Linked DNA regions of Cricetulus griseus. The protein of the gene in region 2 purifies or fractionates together with the protein of the main gene of each other region. This does not show direct contact. Links are inferred from orthologs where the notes say so. Each region holds a gene or a part of one and is shown on either strand. Other genes may lie near its edges.

Region 1 (4,345 bases), on a different chromosome or scaffold from region 2:
CCCATCTACCCATCCCAACACCAGCAAGTTTGTCCCCTGGCTGGGTACTGAATTGTCAGTGCCCACCCAGCCTGCACCTGGTCCCACCTGAGCATCACCTACCTCAACCTTACAGCCACCCTACAGGCAGATGCTTTCACTGTCCCTATTTTACAGATGAGGACATTCAGGGCTCAGAGACACTGAAGGACCTGCCAAGAAGACAGCTGCTGAGTGGCAATCTGATGTGAATGGAGGTCTCAGTCCAGAGGCTGCACACTTCAAGAACTAGCAATGAGAGGTGTGTCCCAAGCCCCCCAACACCCTACCCTCTCAAAGATTAGGCCTGGCAAAAAGCAGGGCTGAAACAGGCTTCCTCCTGCCCCTCTGGCCAGGATCCCACCTTGATCTTCTGTTGATAGATGTTGTCATCCTCAGCATACTCCTTGTACAGGACTGAGAGTTCCAGCCGCTCCGACACCAGAGGATTCTGCACAGCAATCTGCAGGAGGCAGGGATCCATCATGCTCTGGCACGGAAGTTGAGTAACCCACACCTAACATCTACAAAAGGGGTTCTGGGCTGGTCATTCAGTGGCACAGCAACCCCCATAAATGCATGGAGTGCCTAGCATAGACTGGAGGGGAGGGGAGGGCTTCAAAACAGACACTAGGCCTCAGGCCCTGACTATACACCCAACCATAAAATCCTCAGATTCTGCCTCCCCAGCCTTCTCCAACCTCTCACCTCTTGTTGAATTCGGTCCTGCTGAGCCATAATGGCTTCATCATAGGCCAGACAGTTAACACCTAAAAAAAAAAAAAAAAAAAAAAAAAAAAAAAAAAAAAAAAAAAAAAAAAAAAAAAAAAAAGAAGAAGTGCCAAGCAAGGGTTACTGTGGGGACCTGGCTATCTCTATGGCAGGCAGCTTTGGCAGAACAGGTTTGGAATATGGAGCCCCGTGTCTTATATTCCACTGTGTAATCTTGGCAAAGTCCTTCCTCTTTAGGTTTTCACTTCCTGTCTTTTGGAGAAGGTAGCTGTTCCGGTATGGTGTTATTTGCAAGGGTAAATCAAGAAGACCACAAGTTCAAGGCTACTGGAGCTACACAAAGCCTAGTCTCCAAAAATAAAATAAAAGGGGGGGGGTGTAGTGTGAGCAGCACAGTGCACAGCTCTAAGTCCCAGCACTTACAGACCAGACCAGGAAGATAAAGAAGCCTAGGAGTTCAAGATCAACCCTGGAAATACACAAGGCCTTATCTTGGAAGAAAACAGGTCTGGGGTTGAGGCTCAGTGGTAGAAAATATATTTGTCCTGCAGGTGTAAGCCCTGGCTTCTATTTCTAGCAACCCGAAAAAGCAGTAAATAAAAAATGACAAGCCAGGCAGTGGTGGCGCACACCTTTAATCCCAGCACTCAGGAGGCAGAGGCAGGCGGATCTCTGTGAGTTCGTGCCCAGCCTGTTCTACAGAGCAAGTGCCAGGACAGGCTCCAAAGCTACAGAGAGAAACCCTGTCTCGAAAAACAAAAAACAAAACAAACAAAAAAGTGACAAAATAAAGATCACTATCAAGACACTCTTCCAGCCTTGCTATTCCTTTTTCCCTGATTTCTAACATTATCTGTAGCATCCTGGCTGGGGAAGGGAGTCTCTGGGGGAAAGCAAGATGAGGTGGGTGGAGCCCTAGGTGGAATGAGAGCATCTCTCCAACAAGCACTTTGCTGGGACACACCCTTTATCCTTCTGTGGTCCTATTGCTAATGGTGCTCATTTTGCAAATAACAAATGCAAAGAAGCGACTCCATCTTGCCCAAGGTCAAAACCAGTGAAGAGCTGTGGGCATGTCCACATCTGTACAATTCCAGTCTGAGCTCTTGGCAATGTCACTTGCACTGCACTGCGAAGCCCTCTACCCTTACCTGAAGAATGGATTAATGCCAACACCTTGCTCCCATCATCAAAATACACTGGGATCCTGAAAGCACCAAGTAATACTTAAGCACTCTCTAGAGGCATCCATGGATTTGGGAGGTTCATCCTGTGGACCCTACTCCAAGCAACTATTGGATAGGGGTCAGGAGACACTAATTCTAGTCCGGAATCCTTCTTAGATATATGATCGAGAACAATTTCTTTCTTCGTACCTGGGTTTGCTAGTCTAGAGTGTAGAGTTAGAGCAGGGTGTGCATGTCCAGGTTCTCAGCTGAGCCTATGTCCCACAACAGGGCGGTCCCTCCCACTAGAGAAACTTAATCCCCAGACCCCAAGTTCATGCATGGTAGACATGGAGAGGGCGTGACCGGTTTTTTTGTTTTAAGGACCAGAGAACTAGGAAAACAATGCCTGCATCTGCTAGGGGAGGCCAGACGAGCTCTAACGAAGAGGGCTGCAGGCAGCATCCCGAACGCCCCACAGGGGACTTCATGCTTGGCAGCTCGGCGTCACTCAACGCCGTTCGGCTGTTCGGGTAAGGGCGGGCGGCTCGGCCCAGGCCTAGGCCTCGGCTTGACTGCGAGGACTCGGGCAGGCTGACTTGGCGAGCCGGCCGAGGCCGCGGGACGGGTGGAGGCGGGGCGGCCCAGGCCCCGCCCCAGGCGTGCACCAGAGGCCGAGCGGCGGTCCTCACCGCCCCGCCCGGCCGGGGGTCGCTGCGGGCCTGCTTCCATTGTGAGGGGGAGGGGAGAGGAGGAGGAGGCGGAGGGCTCCGCGGCACGCTGCGCCCGGGCCCCGGCGGCCCTGCCTCCCGGAGCTCCTCGGGAGCGGCCGACCGAACCTCGCCCCCGCCAGCCCCGGCAGGACATCGTTCCCTTGGTCCGTACCTTCGGAGTCGCTGCCCAGCGGCTCCTGCTTCTGCTGCTGAGGTTCCTCCGCCGCCATCTTTAAACAGCGCCGCACTGCCGACCGCTTCCGGGTTATTAATCGCCCTCCTCCCGGAAGGGAGCCCCTCCTCGTGGCCCCTCCTTCGCAACGCCCCTAGCAACAGGCTCCCCTTGGCGGTTGTCAGGGGCTGGGCAGCTCCTGCGGGCCCTGGAGAGCCCGGGGGCCCGTGACCCCAGGAGACGCGGGGGGCGCGGGCGCGCGCTTCCACATCCCCACCCTCCTGAAGGTCATGAGGTGCTAAGGGCCCCCTGGAGTTGCTTCTGTTTTCGGTCTACTGGACTTTAGCTTTAAAACGCAGGTTGTGTAATTGAGATAAGGAGCAAGATGGAATTAAAGTCACGGAAGGCAACATCCCTTCTGCGCGTGCACTCGAGGTACACGAGCCACCAAAGCTGCAGTGCGGAGCGCGGAGCCACCACGAGACAGGAAGTGGTGCCAACATCCTGATGCCCTTCAGAGCCCTTAAATCGAGACCTCTCGCCCCTCGCCACTGAGCCTGTTCTCTGCAAGCTTTGAAGACCTGTTTCTAATAAGAGGACATCTTTCCCTTGATGTCGAACCAAAAGCCTCGACCTGGTTGAGGAAGCAGGTCCATTTAAAAGCATGGACTTAAATCCATAATCCGAACACGTGGAAGGTGGAGACAAGGATCAGAGAGTTCAAGGTAATCCTCCAGTTTCAGGACAAGCTTGGCTTCATGAGACCCTGTCTCAAAACTGGGCCCAAAAGTGACCATCCTTGCTAATTTTTACCAAAGCTTCCCCTATTCCTTGGGTTGTATCTCTAAACTGTTAAATGGGGGCAGACCAGTAGAAAAAAGAACACTCTCATTTGCAGGCCCAAGGCACCCTGAAATGCAAACACCAAACTGAATTTGCAGGAGGAAGGTGTTCATTTATTTGGTTGGTAGCCTTGAAGGGTAAATGGGCTATATCCCTAGCTGCAATGCTTACAAGCCTGGCTATAGCCAGCACTGAGCCACAAAGGGACTCCTTTTTATTCTCCAGTGTAGCAGTTCTCTGTCCTGAGCAGTCCCAACTCCAGCTCCTGTATGAACTCCCTAGTCCAGGTAACAGAGACCATGGTAGAGTTGTTTTGTAGTTCTCTTCAAGATTAAGAAAAAACTACAGGCTAGGGGGCATGGTGCACACCATTAATTCCAGCACGCAGGAGGCAGAGGCAGGTGGATCTCTTCCTCTACAAGACAGAAGCCAGCCTGGTCTACAGAAATTCTAGCTTACTGAGGTCTACACAATGAGACTCACAAAACAAACGTAAAAAGAAAAGCCAAATAGAAATCGTGTCTTTTGTTAATTTTATTGTCTTACTGTATGGGAGGCTGTATGTACCAAGAGGCTTGTGTGAAAGTCAGAGTACAACTTTAGGAAACCCATTCTCTTTCCATCTTTATATGGGCTCTGGAAATAAAACTTTGGTCGTCTGATGGGGGAAGTCCTTCTGTGTATATGTTTGTCTAAATAAA
Region 2 (4,609 bases):
CATAGCCTGGGAATCAAAAAGCCAACCCCCAATAACATACTTTCACCACCAATGCCATAGCTCCTAAACCTACCCAAACAGTGCCACTAACTGGGGACCACAAATTCACACATGTAAGCCTTTGTGGGGGGCATTCTCATTCAAATTACCATGTTCAACTTATTGGTCCCTGAAGCCTAGTGTCTATATTATAATGCAAACTGTATATAGTCCAACTCCATAAATCCCTATAGTCTCTAAATTTGGCAGGTATACAGGTCTCATATCAAAACTACTTTTCTCTATGATTTGTATTCCAATGTTTTCTAGCATTTAGAGTTGCAAGAAAAAAAATTTACGATCATAACTTGATTTCTCAGTAGTCTGGATACTTTCCCCTCCTCTGACATTGAAAATGGAGAAAACAGAAAACATCTAGATGTTTTCTCTTCACAAGAATTTAAATGTACCCCTACTAGCTTTATCCAGTGTAGGCCCAGTTCATTGTCCATCTCTGGAAAACTGTCTTCCATTCCTTCCAGAATAGTTGTTTCAACTTCATTTGTTTTGTTCTTTTTCAGGCATTCCTATTAGTTAACACACACACACACACACACCCCAAACAAAAAACTCAACGTATTAAAGGTGTGCACCACCACCCGGGACTCAACACACTTTTATTAAACACACACACACACACACACACACACACACCCCAAACAAAAAACTCAACGTATTAAAGGTGTGCACCACCACCCCGGACTCAACACACTTTTATTAAACACACACACACACACACACACACACACACACACACACACCAAACAAAAAACTCAACGTATCCTAAGGGTACCAACACTAAACAATGTTTCAAAGCGCGCGCGCGGCGCGCGCACACCCCCCCCCCCCACACACACGGACACACACAGACACACACCCCAAACAAAAAACTCAACGTATCTACACTAAACAATGTTTCAAAGCACACACGCACACACACACACACACACACACACACACAGACACACAGACACACACACACACAGAGACACAGACACACACACACACAGACACAGACACACACACACACACACACACGGACAGACACACACAGACACACAGACACACAGACACAGAGACACACACAGACACACACACACACACACACACACAGACACAGACACAGACACACACACACACACACACACACACACACACACACACACACACACACAGACACACACACACACACACACACACACACACACACACACACACACACACACACACACACACACACACACACACACACACACACACACACACACACACACACACACACACACACACACACACACACACACACCCCAAACAAAAACCTCAACGTATCCCAGCGAAGGGTACCAACACTATGTTTCAATGTTTCAAAGCACAAATTGAAAGCTGCGCGTTCGTGACGTCATCTCAACGCGCCTCCCATCAAGGCCAATCGCCTGGCGCGTAGCCTGGCGCTTTGGAAACTCGCGCGCCAGGAGCGTGTTCCGTCGCGGAGTCTCAGCTTCCGGCGCGCAGTCCAGAGCGGTGCGAATGCGCAGGCGCTCTGGCTCATGCCGGCTTCTCCGGGTTTCAGTGGTTAGCCCTGGATCCGGAGCCGCCTTGAGGCGGGGCTGGGCCTTGGCGGCGGCCAATGGCGCCCGGGGTGAGGGTTGAGGGGTGGGAGGTGCTGGCCTGCTTGCCGTGTGCCGCTCGTCCGGCGCGTGTGCCCGGCCACCTGGTCGTCATGGAGGAGGCCTTGGTAGAAGAGCTGGACGATGAGGAGCAGCTGGTGAGAAGGCATCGCAAGGAGAAGAAGGAGCTGCAAGGTGACGGCAAAGGGGCTGGGAATCTAAAGGTCGTCCCCACCCAGGGCTGGGAGCGTGGCGTGTGACCCCGAGGACCTGGAGGGGCGACCGGCCTGCAGCCTGGATTTCCCCGCAGATAACTTTGGTGTGTCTTCTCCAGCCTTCCCCGCTCTCTCGGACCCCCGTTTGCAGTCCTCGGAGGTGTCCCGTTGGGCTGCCTGCAGTGCACCCCGAGGCGGTGCTTCGCTTTTGCTGCTGGTGATGTCCCTGGAGGCCGAGGTCTTGGCCCTCCTCTGCCACCCTTCCCATTCCTGCCTGGTTCCGAACACTTGACCTTAATGGTGTGCTCAGAATTGCTTTTCTTTATTCTTATGGTCGCAGAAGAGCTATTTGAGAGGCAGAAGTTGTGTAATTTACAATTTAATAATTGCTTTTCTTAACTTTATTTTGCCCCGTCAAACCAAACATTCATGGCGGTTGTGTTTAAGAGGTGTATGTTGAATCTCAAGCCTCATCCGGGCTTTTTTCTCTGTAGCTGATTGTTGTGTCATGACTAATTGCTTCTATAATTACATTACATTCTGTAATTATGCCTCTTGACATCTTACTCCTGCTGTTCGCTCTCTCTTCCTGGTGCTCTGACACGATGGTTTTGGTAACCTTTTAGCCAAAATTCAGGGAATGAAGAACGCTGTTCCCAAAAATGACAAAAAGAGGAGGAAACAACTCACTGAAGATGTAGCTAAGTTGGAGCGAGAAATGGAGCAGAAACACAGGGAAGAACTGGAGCAATTGAAGCTGACTTTGAAGGAGAGTAAGGTATGGGGAATAAAACTTGTTTCTGAGCCTTTGGAAACAACCGTCTGTGCTTGTTGAACTCCTTACTGTGTACATTCACAAAATTGGAAGTGAAATCAAGTCATGCAGTCACATTTACACATCACATTTCAACGTTACTATTTTTTGAGACAAAGTGTTATATAGTTCAGGCTGCCACCATCTGGGTTTGTAGCAGAGGATAACCTTGAACTTTAGATCTTATTGGCTTGGCCTCACAAGTGCTGGGATGCACCACCACACCTAGCTTTCCATTTCCTCAGTATTTTGGGACCAGGTTTATTATTTCTTTAAGGGAGATGAGCAAAGAGGGAACTACTTACTTAACCTAGTGATGAATGTGTAAAGCATAAAGTGTTCTAGAGAAGGTTTCTCTTGAGTGGACAATGGAAGACTAGACTTCTTGTCAAGGATTACTGATGAATAAGATGTAGCCTCTGAAAAGTTACTCAAGCAACCCAAGAATAAATTTCTCCACTTACGACATGGTGACAATTGTTTTGTGTATGGTTAAGGTTCCTATGAAAAACAAATGGGGTGACAAATGTGAAATCATGTTGAAGTTATAAAAAGTGCTTTGTGATCCAGTTGTAATGAATGAAGTTTTAGAGATGCTTCTTGTGTAAATGGGACCGCGATAACATGCATCTTTTCAGTGTTTATCATTCGACCTAGTGGTATATGCCAGCCACTTTGTTCACTGTATGGTATCTAGTATTTCAGTTAATTGTCAGTAATACTGTAAATAATACCTGTAAAATAAATGTAGATAATCACACTTTTCCAGTAGGAAACACACTTAGAAAGATTTAAGATCTTTATCTTAAAGTCATAATAGCTACTGAATGCCAAAAGCTAGAATTCAAAACTAGGCCATCAATTGGGCAGTGACTGGCAAACATCTTTAATCCCACACTTGGGAGGCAGAGGCAGTTGGATCTGAGTTCAAGGCCAGCCTGGTCTTGAGAGTGAGTTCTAGAACAGCCAGAGCTACACAGAGAAACTCTTTCTCAAAAACTAACCAACCAAACAAAAACAAAACCAGGCTATCTTTATACCTTTGGGTAACATAGTAATTTGTTGCATAGGTTTTGGAGATGAAGAGTCATATATTCCGCAACTTTAGTTAACTGTTGTTAGGAATTTCTTAGTTCTATGCAAGATCTCATCTTCCATAAGTTTTCATTCACTTTTGTTCTGTAGACAAGGGTAGAGTGTCTTCGTGTCCATTTACACAGAGTATTAAATATAGTTTCAAAATCTTTAATTTCATTACCCAGCCATCATGTTTGTGGCCTCTCTTACTGTTAAAATACTTTTATCTCCAGCTTGGCATGGTAGTACATCCCTATAGGCCCAGCACTCAGGAGTTTGTGAGTTTGAAGCCAGCCTGGGCTACATAGCAAGACCCTTATCTCAAAACCCAAAGTGTCAAGAAAACTTTTTTCGTCAATGCCATTATAGCTCACCAGGTAAAGGGGTGCTTGCTGTTAAGCCTGATATCCAAGTTCTATCCCTAGAACCTCCACGTAAGAAAGAGAAAATTGACTCTCATAAGTTGTCCTCTGACCTCCATATGCTGTTTGACATGTGCACACACACACAGTTAAGTGTTCTGTCATGTCAGGATTGTGCTGTTCCTAATTGTCTCCTGTGTTTTCCAGTAGCAGGATGTTTTGTTTGCTCTCTTAGGCTTTCAGTTTCAAGATTTTCAAAGAGAAAGAAAAGTTTGATTCTTAACCATATTTCACTTACCCGCTAAGATGCAAATTCTCTAGTCTGCCTTGTCTTCCTTTTCATTAACTTAAACTTGTTTTCTTTTTAGTCTCTACCTTAATCTGAATTGTTTTTTTGTCAATATGATGTGAATTTTGGCAGAATTTAAAAAAAATGCAAAATAATAGATTCAGTGAAGTTGTTAAACTACTTGAAGTCTATCAGATTTTGGTAAT

Evidence for each region.
Region 1: the proteins of Otud6b (region 2) and Otub1 fractionate together in Homo sapiens (co-fractionation; 4 studies listed by BioGRID and IntAct, with this or other methods). This does not show direct contact. The link is inferred for Cricetulus griseus from reciprocal best matches to the Homo sapiens genes OTUD6B and OTUB1.

What each region holds. Positions count from the first base shown.
Region 1 is NC_048596.1:52,251,762-52,256,106, reverse strand, and holds the start of Otub1 (ubiquitin thioesterase OTUB1), read right to left. Parts: upstream 2,952-4,345; 5' UTR 2,860-2,951; coding exon 2,802-2,859; intron 789-2,801; coding exon 727-788; intron 482-726; coding exon 383-481; intron 1-382. UniProt on the Homo sapiens protein: Hydrolase that can specifically remove 'Lys-48'-linked conjugated ubiquitin from proteins and plays an important regulatory role at the level of protein turnover by preventing degradation.
Region 2 is NC_048595.1:128,752,233-128,756,841, reverse strand, and holds the start of Otud6b (deubiquitinase OTUD6B), read left to right. Parts: upstream 1-1,682; 5' UTR 1,683-1,759; coding exon 1,760-1,841; intron 1,842-2,487; coding exon 2,488-2,639; intron 2,640-4,609.